Linked DNA regions of Rattus norvegicus. The protein of the gene in region 3 binds, or shares a complex with, the protein of the main gene of each other region. Links are inferred from orthologs where the notes say so. Each region holds a gene or a part of one and is shown on either strand. Other genes may lie near its edges. The genes, in order: Rassf5, Sav1 and Stk3.

The links.
Region 1: the proteins of Stk3 (region 3) and Rassf5 are in contact, whole or in part, in a crystal structure (PDB 4LGD), measured with the Homo sapiens proteins. The link is inferred for Rattus norvegicus from reciprocal best matches to the Homo sapiens genes STK3 and RASSF5. Residues at the interface, in NP_006272.2 of Homo sapiens: Phe437, Phe439, Leu440, Leu445, Leu448, Gln449, Arg451, Leu452, Leu455, Asp456, Met458, Met459, Glu462, Ile463, Leu466, Arg467, Tyr470, Lys473, Arg474, Pro476, Ile477, Leu478, Ala480, Met481, Lys484, Gln488; in NP_872604.1 of Homo sapiens: Trp369, Asp370, Ala371, Phe372, Ile374, Leu377, Gln378, Phe380, Leu381, Leu384, Glu385, Glu387, Glu388, Lys391, Ile392, Val395, Gln396, Lys398, Tyr399, Phe402, Arg403, Lys405, Leu406, Ala409, Leu410, Ser413.
Region 2: the proteins of Stk3 (region 3) and Sav1 are in contact, whole or in part, in a crystal structure (PDB 6AO5), measured with the Homo sapiens proteins. The link is inferred for Rattus norvegicus from reciprocal best matches to the Homo sapiens genes STK3 and SAV1. Residues at the interface, in NP_006272.2 of Homo sapiens: Trp429, Lys430, Val431, Pro432, Gln433, Gly435, Phe437, Phe439, Leu440, Lys441, Asn442, Leu443, Ser444, Leu445, Leu448, Gln449, Arg451, Leu452, Leu455, Asp456, Met458, Met459, Glu462, Ile463, Leu466, Arg467, Arg469, Tyr470, Ala472, Lys473; in NP_068590.1 of Homo sapiens: Tyr311, Ala312, Arg313, Ala314, Pro315, Asp319, Trp324, Glu325, Phe327, Gln328, Leu329, Leu332, Asp333, Gln336, Leu339, Lys340, Leu342, Phe343, Glu346, Leu347, Ile350, Val351, Met353, Tyr354, Ala356, Tyr357, Arg358, Ala360, Leu361, Leu362.

Annotation. Positions count from the first base shown.
Region 1 is NC_086031.1:45,192,779-45,196,409, forward strand, and holds part of Rassf5 (ras association domain-containing protein 5), read right to left. Parts: intron 2,346-3,631; coding exon 2,235-2,345; intron 1,418-2,234; coding exon 1,120-1,417; intron 634-1,119; coding exon 518-633; intron 1-517. UniProt on the Homo sapiens protein: Potential tumor suppressor. Seems to be involved in lymphocyte adhesion by linking RAP1A activation upon T-cell receptor or chemokine stimulation to integrin activation.
Region 2 is NC_086024.1:94,233,635-94,237,379, forward strand, and holds the start of Sav1 (protein salvador homolog 1), read right to left. Parts: upstream 2,465-3,745; 5' UTR 2,294-2,464; coding exon 2,200-2,293; exon of another isoform or gene 1,845-2,199; intron 420-1,844; coding exon 1-419. UniProt on the Homo sapiens protein: Regulator of STK3/MST2 and STK4/MST1 in the Hippo signaling pathway which plays a pivotal role in organ size control and tumor suppression by restricting proliferation and promoting apoptosis.
Region 3 is NC_086025.1:68,205,952-68,209,696, forward strand, and holds the start of Stk3 (serine/threonine-protein kinase 3), read right to left. Parts: upstream 2,337-3,745; 5' UTR 2,257-2,336; coding exon 2,231-2,256; intron 1-2,230. UniProt on the Homo sapiens protein: Stress-activated, pro-apoptotic kinase which, following caspase-cleavage, enters the nucleus and induces chromatin condensation followed by internucleosomal DNA fragmentation.

The DNA.
Region 1 (3,631 bases), on a different chromosome or scaffold from region 3:
AAGCAACCCTGCTCTGCACACTGATAAACTCTCAGACCCTCCTCTTCCAGTTACTCCTTGGAGACCACACCCACCTATTCTGGGCTTGGAGGATCTCTGCCCAATTTGACCCCATTTTTGCCAGGAGTCTAACACTGATTAGACCCCCTTGAAAAGGAAACCAGCATTTTAGGAGAAAAAGAAATGGTTAAGAAATGTCTATGTCCAGTAGAGCCGAGAGTTGGAGCTTGCAGGCCTTAGGGCAGAACTAGGTGGGGCCTGAACAGAGCTTCTCAGTGTGACCCCCACCCCTATACCAGCCCTATTTTCACAAAGCAGATGAAATCTGTCCCATGGCTTTTACCTTATGCAGGTTGTAACTTGCTTTCCTGTGATGTGCCACACTGATGATCCTGGGTTAAGCACTGAGCCTCTGGCAGTCCTGCAGCCCCACCTACACTCTGCAGTTAGGACAGCAGCACCTGTCTGGCTTCACCTAGCCAGCCAGGACTGGCTTTTGCAAAGGGTCCAGACATACCTCTACGTCTCCGGTTTCATTCTCCTTGAGCACAAAGCTGAGCACGTCGGTGTCAGGACCAGCGAGCAGACGAAGGTAGAGAGGGCAGTCAGCGATGGAGAGTTTCTGGAAGAGCACTGCAAACAGAAAGAAGGGCTGGGCGCTCATCTCAAAAGAGGACAGGATGGGGCCTGGGCTTGGAATGCACAGGTTGGGCAGACAAGGAAAGAGTCATGGTTCTTCTCATGGGTGTGGCCCTGGCAAGGCAGTGGTGGCTCAGAGCCCTCCATCCCCGTATGGCAAAGTTTAGCCCTGTTTCCATTGACAGCATCTTCCAAAGGAAGAGGAGCAGTGGGCAGACTCCCTCCCACTACAGGGATCAGGAGACCAGAGCCCAGGGTGTGTCTTTCCTGTATGGAGGACATGTGCATGGAGCTGGGCACAGTAGGCGTGGGCTGCCTGGTCCTGCCTAGATTTCATGTTGGCTCGCCCATGAATCCCAACACTACACAGATGGCTACAGACCTGCTGCCTGGAAGCCCACACTTCCCATCCAGGACAGACAGTGAAGTTTAGTGACCGTGGGCATTAGCAGACTGGGAAAGGGTTGGGAACTCCCATACCTTGTCCATCTTTGTGTATCCGCTTAAAAAGGGCAAACTTCTGTGGGTTGTCCACAACCATGAATTTCTTGAGCAGCCCCTGGATGACCTCACTGACAGTGGTGCTGCTGCTAATGTGTAGCTGCTTGATGGCGTCAAGTGGCAGGTAGAAGGATGTCCGCTTGTCTGTGGTAGCTGCAGGGTTCACTTCCTTAATGGCATCATAGATGGACTGGGGCCGAATCCCAGCAGGCACCGTCACTGGCCGGCGGAGTTTCAAATGCACTTTGATGAAACCTGTGTAGGTGCCATCTTCACTCTGCAAGGGGGAGGTACATCTTGCCTGATTCTGTCTGGCACTCTGGGTTGTGAACTACAGGAGACCTGACAGGCCACTTCAGCCAGCCTACCCGAGTTCCTTCCTGAGTCTCCTCTCTAGAGGAACTGGAGATAACCCACTCTTCTCATGGGCCAGGAGGTCTGGAGCCCAGTTACCAGAGAGGATTGGTGGGTTCGGGCTTCCCTCACAGGAAGTTTAGCCCAGCCACCCCGACCGTCTGCTAGATAGGTGCCAGTGGTCTTTGTTGGGTCTCACTCTAAAGGCAGAGTCTGTAGGCTCCTCTCTACCTCTCAACTTGGGAGATCCAGCCCAACTCTGGCCTGACTGGCATCTGCATTTTCTCAGGCTCTTGGGTAACTTGGAAGCACCGGAGAGCCAGTTGTTCTCAGTCACCAGCAGGGGGCAGGGCTCTCCTGGTGTCAGCCCTTAAAAACAACTCTGAATCTGTCAAGGTCAGGGGCACCATCTGAGCACTGTAAGCTTGACAGCCTGGGTCAAGGGCTTCCTGGGGCTCGAGCCCCCAGCCCCTCCATCAATGTCATTTAATTCCCCTAAGATCTCTTAGGCAGGGGCATGGAGATCTCTATTCTACACTGCAGTAAGGAGAGGCTAAACTTTCCCAAAGTAGCCAGAGAGTGACTGGGACAGAGGTTGTATCTGGAGCCTATGCTATTTCTCTGGGTCCCTGAGGCCACAGAAAGCTGGGCCTGAGCATAGAGTGAGCTGTAAAGGAGTCGCTGTTCCTGTGGAGAAGGGGCAGAAAGGATGCTGGGTAAGGATGACAAGCTCTACTTACCAACTTCATGCCCAGGCAGTGCTTCTCCCGGCTGTTATAGCTGTCAATCTTCTGCTTGATCTCCTGTATGGTGGGCGGGTGCTGTGTCTCCTCCACAGCCTTACAGACATTCTGAAACAGACAAGTGGCCATGAGTTCAGTGGTTCTCAGGATACAAAGGGCAGTGAGCACACCTCCCAAATGCTGCCTCTCTGGCTGAGAAATAAGTACCAGCATGAGCAGCAAAAGGCCAGTCACTCAAATCTCTCTCAGTCTCAGCTTCCTCACCTATGACATGGAAATAATACCTATCCCAGACTGGCTGAGAGACCAGTGCCACACCTGGGCACTGGCCATGAACGTGGTGAGTGGGTAGAACTCGTGATCGTGGTTTGGAATGGAAAAGGTGCTTACAGATAGCTATGAAGCCATGGTCTGCCCATCTCCAAGAAGTGCTGATAACACTGCAAAGGTGTGAGCACGTGCTGAAAGCTGATAGCAGCAGACAAGGGCATCTGCCTGCCAGTCAGCTCATGTCACTGGCCATGAAGGAACTGTTAGGGACAGGGGGCTAGTACCCCCTATTCTTGCGAGGTCAGCATTTGCTGGGGACCTCATCTATATATGAAGGACTAAGCTGTCTCTCCACATCTCACAGACCTCAACTTCCTGATTCCCAATGACACGTTACCCCCATTTTCCAGGGAGAACACTGGGACTTGGAGGCATTTACCAACTTGCCCAGGACCCTCATCCGCATGTGCAGAGCAAACCAGAAATCCCACATCTGTCCGGCTGCGTTCTCTCTGCATCACCGAGATTCGTTCTTACAGAGTTCCCTGCTTTACTCTGTGACCCCCCCCCCCCCAGGAAAATGGAAGGATGAACTTAATGTGGATGTCAGTATTCCTTGCAGTATGGGTTCTGAGATCCACACAGGTCTTTTTCACAGTCAGTTCTCTGGAGTTCTCTCATGTTCAGGGCCACTTCCCAGTTTGGTTTTCATGCTCCCCTGAGTGGCGTGGCGTATAGGAGCTGGTCAGTGAAAATTCTCCCAGAATTACCCCGACCTTAGAAATCCAGCAGACTTGGGCAGTCAGGAATCCTCTCTGGTACATAAGGCAGCAGGTGCCCAGAGAGGGATGACCTGACGCCATCTGACACCTGCTTGTGGGTTTGGTTGGGGGAATTTTACAACAGTTCCCCACATCACACTGGCATCACCACTGACTGAAGCACAGTGGGGCGCTCACCAACAGAACTCGCCCCTGACCTTTCCTTCCCTCCAGCCTGCCCATTTGCAGGACTTCAGCACGCGCACAGCGGGCCAGCATTTCCTCCCCCAACTCTCCAATCCTACAGGTCACAGAAACTGTAGACCACGTGATTGCCAAGAGCAGTGGGCATTGCTGGGTCTG
Region 2 (3,745 bases), on a different chromosome or scaffold from region 3:
CATTCTTTGGAAGAGATCATGGTTGTATTCATAATATCTATAGTCTTCTTGTGCACGATCTCCAAGTGGCCTCCTTCTCTGACCATCAAAAAAGTTATCTGAATAAAAATATCGGGAACCAGAGTCTCCATTTTCAACAGCAAAATTAACTTCTGTTAAAAATGACTGTGATGAGCCGTATTCCCGAGGGACATCCGCTAGGCTCCTGACAAGGTAAGAAGACGGTGCGGACAGTCTGTTGCTTTCTCTTCTCATTACTTCATGAGGCGTCCTTTGAACTGGAGTTCTCAGGAAACTCTGGTTTCTTGAAACTACGCCATCTCCAGAAGCTGAGAAAGCACTAGCGCTTGACTCTGGAAGACAGAGGTCAGTCCGTCTTGGAATTGTTGGACCGTGCCGAATGAATGAAGGCATGAGATCTACAATAAAACAAAGGCACACTTCATTAAGTCAGTGCACTCTTCTAAAGTTATTTATTTATGTCTACTACCCTGAGATAAAAATAGCAAACAAAAGGGTGTAAGAAAACAAATTTTAAATTTTAAGACAATACTAGAACTTTAAATTAAGATTATTTCCCCAAGCAAATACATTTATAATCTGCATTAATGTGCAGGTGTAAACTCAGCTACAAATGAATGGCTGCTGCGTATTGCCATATATAATATGATACTATGCCACTGAGAGGAAAATAATCTAACAAACCAATGCCAGCACCAGCATCTCGTATGGCCACAGCTTGGTGTTTTCACTTGATTTAAGTATCACCAAGCCTCTTTCCTCACACAAACAGTTTCATTAAAATAAGTGTTCCTCAAAAAAAAAAAAAAAAAAAAAAAAGCAAAGTCAGATTTCTTGTAAAAGACTTTTTATTAATAGTTTTGTCTCTCTACCCAGAATTGCCCAGTTCTAAGCACAATTATCAAAACTAGAATGCAAAACCTTTCAGTGTAGAAATTGAAAAATAAAGTCATCTAATCCCAAAGATGCACACAAATGCTGAGTCTACTGAAAAAACCTGGGAAAAGTTATGGTTCCTTTAAGAGCAGATAACTCCAAACAAGATAATGGGCTGCTGAAATCAGAATGTGCCAACAGCTTAGACGTTCTTAGAGAAAAAGCAACTGCCTTTAAACATGAACTCTGGATATAGAGCACATTTTCTGAATCCATTAAATAGATTACTAAGTGTGTCAGAAGCTAACACTACAATAACTTAGTATTGGATTAACAGTCGATTTACTAAGTGTGTCAGAAGCTAACACTACAATAATTTAGTATTGGATTAACAGTCGATGACAAACTCTGTACCAAGCCATTCACTAAAAGACAACACGTTGCATGACTTCAAACGATGTTTAATGAACTTTATTTGCAGCGAAAAAAAGCAAGCTATCACCTAAGAACAGAAAAACAAGCTAGTAAAAATGGTTTCAAGTTACTGACACATCCACCCCACCAACTTTGTTGTCCAGCGCTACAACTACTAGGAGAACCTGTAAGGTTTGACACATGGTCACAATGGAAAAATGTGCTCTCCACCCCTTTCTGCGTGATCTTGGGCAAATACTGTGAATAGCTTTCCCAATTACAATATGAGGTAAGGCTTAATTTAAGTCACACGGTTACTTCCAGCTTCCAAGAAGGAAACTTACACAAGGGGCCCAGCTCCTAGAATGAGAACCAAAGGATTAGCTCCTTCTCATAACTATTTTGGCTACCCAAGAATTTTAAAAAGGAAAATCAAGACGTTCGAGTTAAAAACAAATATTTTAAATGAAGAAGAAAAGTTATAGGAGGGGACGGAACGTACGCTGCAAAGAGGGATAAAGTTAGGAACTTGCCTGTCCTGCTATGGCTGAAATTATTCTGAGTACTTTTTTTTTTTTTTTTTTTTTGAAGTTTAGGAGCAAAGCCTAATTCGAATACTTTAGTAGTAGTGGCTACAAGTGTCTCTTCGCCTCACAAGTCTGTGTCCCGCTGCAGGACTAAGGAATCCAGTCTGGTCTGTGTGCTACTTAGGGTACAGGCGAGTGGCACCCGCGATGGTAGCAAACACGGGGCACGCCCCGATGTACCCAGCAGAAAGGTGCCCGGGTCGAAGCATTTTTTCTCCAAGTGCATTCCCGAGAGTCTGTCTTCCAGCACCAGCCACCCGAGGCTGCGCTGGGTCCACCCTTCACCGCCCTGGACACTCACTCCGCAGCAGGGGCGACGTCTCCTTCTTCACGTACTTGCCCTGAACCTCGGCCGGCTTAGACACCTCGTTTTTGGTTTTCTTGCGGGACAGCATCCTCGCGGACGTCGCCCGCCGCTGCCCCAGCAGCCTCGCTAGGGCCGCGAGCCCGCCGCCCGCCGCCGCCTCCCGGGCCGGCGCCGCCTTCGCCTCGGGTCTCCGCCGCCCGCGCCCGCCCGCAGGCTCCGCCGCATGTTGGCGGCGCTAAGCGCGCCCGCCGCCGCTCACTCGCAGGGCAGCTCCTCCCGGGAAGTCAGCCGGCTCAGCGCCGCCGCCCGAGGCCGCCTTGGGACAGGGCCGCGGCCGCCCACTAGGGCCATGGTCCGCCGCCGGGAGCCGCTACGGCTGCGGCCACCGCCTACGTCCGGTAAACTTTCCCCGCGCCGCTGGGAATGCTGGGAAAGTCGACGCGCGGGCCGCCCCTCCCCCGCCGGGCGCGGACGCGGCTGCGTGCGGCGACTCTCGACCGGCGGCTAACGGGCCGGGTGTGGCGACCACCCTGGCTCCTCAGCGCGGCTACCCCGGCCCGCTCCCGCCGCTGAGGAGCCGGAGTGCAGGCGGTCGGGAGCCCACTGGGCTGCGAGCCGCTCTCGCCTCGGACTTGTCGACCGCCCTGTTGGAGGCAGAACTGCCCACAGCCGCAGCCGCGAGTGGTTGCTGAGGGAAGGCGGCCCTCGGGTGTGCAGGGTTGATGGGGACGCGGGACCGGACCACAGCCAGGGCGGCACCTAGTAACGCGTATGCCTCTTTTGGTGACAGCGTAAAAACCGAGTATCCGTTTCTTCTGTCCTCTTCTCTCTTCCCAACCCTTGGTACTCCCACCCCTTTTATGCCTCCTCCCATCCGCTTTTTCGGATTAAAAAGACAAAGAAGATGGAGTTTCTACAACTCCTAAGATAAATTTGACGTTAATGTATTTATCTCATCATTTTAATATTTATACTTAATAACCACGTGCTTTTTCTTGCAATTAAGTCTTAGAATCTTGAGGCCTTTCAGCACCAGAGTTCAGAGCTGGGAGTTTTCTATCTAATTCATTGGATGCTACTTTGTTCTCTTTAACTCACTCAGGTACTCGTGTTTGGAAAATAAGATGAGACTCACTCCTCTTGACCAAAGTAAGGCTTTCATAAGAAAAGGAATGTGTTTAGAGCACAGAAGCAAAACTCCAACCTCATAACAAGGCACCAGAACTGCTCAGTATATTTTTTTTTTAGCCACGCACAAAGGAGACATTTTATCAGTTGTCTGTCTCCATGTTTTCATGAAATGCTTCCTTGTTAAAGGTTCCTGTGATTCTATAACAAATATTTTATTGAGCATCCAACATACAAGGTGTTGTTTTAGGTGTCCAGGGTATGACATAAAGGCCCTTCTGGTATGGGGAAGAGAGATCACACAGAATAAGACTCGTAAGACACAGTGTGTTACATAGTGCTGAGGTAAGCATGAGTAAGTGAGATCTCACAGTTCTGGAAAGGGGTGACAGATAACAAAGACAGCAAGAAG
Region 3 (3,745 bases):
GGTGAGGACACTTAAATTTAGAACTAGCATAGGAAGTGGCCAGCCAGGATTATTATTTCCAAAAGCGGGTACCAAAAGCAGGGTACGTAGCAACCTTTTCACATAAAAATGTTTCAGACAGACCATGCAGATGTGGGTGCATGGGTCTTCTATACAGCTTTGTACAAGCACACGGATAGATGCACAACAAAACCACCTAACGAGTCTCTCAGAACAAACGCCCCAACGTTAAGTCACAATGTGTAAATTTCATGGCAAACACTATGATTTCAAAAATGGTAGCTGTGCTTTATGACTAGATATCAAAGGGACTACGCAAAAATTCACTGTCAGTAACTCATATGCTTTGATTTAGCAAACTCATAGTATCTTCATCTATAAAATGAGATTTTATAATCTTTCTATAATCCAACCTACTGCATAGAGTTGTAGTGAGGATAATTACTAATTTGAAATGCTATAAAATAGAATGCTGAGATGCTAATATATAAAATATTAGCGGTCTACATCTTTTGTCCTGCATGCTGTTCTGACTTTACACAAGCAATGGCATGGGTTTACACACACACACACACACACACACACACACACACACACACATATCATGTGGGAGGCAGGGATACCAAATAAACAAAATGTAATTTTACAAAAACCCCTTCCTGCACAGGAACTATATCCTACTCCTAAGTATTCCTGAGTCAAAGGCAGACGCAGCTCTTAAACCCAGGAACTCAAGGCCAAACTGTACAACCTAAGAGGGGAAAAAACAAAAGAGCTAAAAGAATTACATTTCTTGCTTCAAATGAGTCTTTGGAGAAATGTAAAGTTAAAAATAAGTCTGTTTTATGTGCAAGCACGGCTTTATAAAGTATAAGTCACTATGGAATTGTCACCCACCACTTCTGATTGTCCAGGTTCACTGATGTCAAGTGCAGGCTTTTCTTACAGCTATAATGAAACTGATAGCTTACAGTACAGCCAACCTGCAAAGGTCTTTTATTTCAATTCAGTCATTCTAGTTGGCCTATGCCATGGTCTCAAAGGCCTTTATTGCCCTTCCAAAGCAGAAAGAAAAAAAAAAGGCTTCAGGTTTTCTTCTGTTACTGTGGGGGAGGGGAGTATCCAGGGTCTACCGGAGAACAGACAACATGCTAGAATCTATCAACTGACTTGCTTCCAGGTCCCAGAAGGATAGCCTGTCCCTTCTGGGAACCTGTCCACAACCTCCCTTTTTTGCATCTGAACAGATGGTTTCCAGAACCCAAGGCTCACATATCTAATCACACAATTCACAACCGTTCTTAAAGTGCCTGCCTTTTTAATTAGTCCACCTCGTGAGTCTAACACCTTACATCTAAAGACCTCTAGCTATCAGAGCACCTCAAGTCTTTAATCTTCACTACAGCACTCTCTTGGAGAACGTTTTGTAAATTAAAAATGAAAGAGTGAGGGTAAACGTTTTACCCAGCGCCAATTATTTTATTCATTCTTGGAGAACAGGGAGCAGACATTATGAACTTTTATCAATGGACATTTATTTAGTTTCCTAAGATCATTGAAATTATTAGTTTCAAACATACTGTACACATATGCATCCAATATGTCCATGATTAAACATATAGCATACCAAAGTACCACTATTTTTACATGTAAAACTATATGGGGGAGGGGTTCTAACTTAACATTCCTTCTGTCTTGTATCCAGAAATTCTTTAGAACTTGGGGGAGGGGGAAACACCTGTCACTGCAGCACATCCATAATGTTTTACATTCTGCGTGGCTATTAATATAGCTTACTCCTTAAACTGTAAATAAGCAATCCGTCTTCTCAGAGAGAATGCTTATATTAAGAATACGAGAAAGAGAGAGAGAGAGAGAGAGAGAGAGAGAGAGAGAGAGAGAGAGAGAGAGAGAGAGAGAGATGCATTGATGTCCTCATCTACAGGTTTCGTGCATTTGCTACTCAGACTCTCCTAGCCAACAGACCAGCGGGAAGACCAGCGATGGCTACTCAACTTGCGGCGCGCCAGGCCCGCAGGACGTCGGCACAGAGACTAGGCGTCCCCTCGGGGCCCCTGGCCTCGCAGAGGCGCGCGACCGACCCTTGGGCACCCGAACTGGGCTGCGCTCTGCGCCTAACAGGCGAGGACAGGGTCGCGGCAGGCTGGGCCTAGCCGCCCCCGCCCCGCGCCGCGGCTTCCGTCCTCATCCCGCTCCCGCTGTCGTTTACCTCTTGGGCGCCGGCGGCTGCTCCATGGCGGCCGGTGGCAGAAAGAGGGACCGAATGGACCGTGAAGGCCGTAGGAAGGAAAGGAGCCTGGGAGCAGCCGGCCGAACGCAAGGGACCACACCGGGAAACTCCCGAGAACTCGGACCAACTTTCCCGTAACTCCGCGGCGGATCTCCCTCCCGCTCCAGAACGCGGTTCCTCCCGGCCGCCCCGCCCCTGGGCCGTGGCCTGCAGCTCCGAGCCGGTGGGAAGAGCCGGGCGAAGCAAGGGTGGGCGGGGCGGAGCGCGGCCCGGGAGGGTGGCGGAGCGCAGCGGAGGAAGGTGGGCGGGGCGGAGTGCGGACTAGGGGGTGGGCGGGGCCAGGCGCTGGTGAGACTAGTGGAGAGAAGCCACCAAAAGGAGTGCCCAGCTCAGAAAGAAGATGCCATGCTACCAGAAGGAGACTTTTTGGCAGCCCAAGAACTACTCTGCTGGTGGAAGAGAGTTAGCTCACTTGAGATTTGATTCGTTGTTCTAGATTCCCCAAGAATACATGCCAATCATATTGTAAATCTGTTTGAAGTATAACTGCCCACACTTCCCTCTCTGGTCCTGTTTATAATTATCAGTTATTATTAGTTATGTTCCCCTATCCCCCAAGCCATTTGACATTTGTAACTATAGTAGTTGGGATACTTCTGGGAATTCCGGTTGATTTTGATTGTTTACAGGTATAATAATTACAGTCTAGCGACAGAAAATATTTACTGCAGTAATTTCTCAGTGCACAAATTTAGAGCACCAGAGGGTTGCTGGCTGTCCTGTTGGGTAACATGGGGAACCTACCACTAGTTATGGTGCTTGGGAAAAGATACAAAAGAAATTTATTTCCTTTTTCTTGGGTCCTGGACACTGCCCTAATCCCATTGTAACTTAACCCCTCACACATTCCTCTACTATTTAACCATAAAATACATACACACACCTTCTTACAGCTATAAAATGAGTTTGCTTATTTTTTTAGAATATTCTTAAATAAGGATTGGGCAAGGTTTTCTTAGAGGTTAGGTGAATGAAGTCAAAATGAGTATCAAACCAAACTGAATAACAGAAAGTCTTACACACATTCTGGTACCTGTTTCATCCACCCAGGACAATAGGAACAATAACAAAAAACTAAGCCATTGAAATGTCAATACTGGGACATGAGATAGTTCTGGAGGTAAAGGCACTTGCCACACAGTATTACAAATCCACAAGTGTAAAGAAAGAACGGACTTCACAAAGTTGTCCTTGGCCCTCCACACACACATGTGATGTGGCACCCTTGTCACATCTCTTGTGCACATGCGCACACTTCCACACATACACACACCATTCGTGCACGCACAGGCACAGTAAAGTCAGGTTTTTAAACATCAGTACTCAGTACTGGGAATCACCACAAAAACTCTGCCTGCCTCTCATTCTCCTGACTTTCACACCAACCTCATTTTTTCCTGTTTCAGCAGAAAACATCTTGAGAAGTTCATCTCA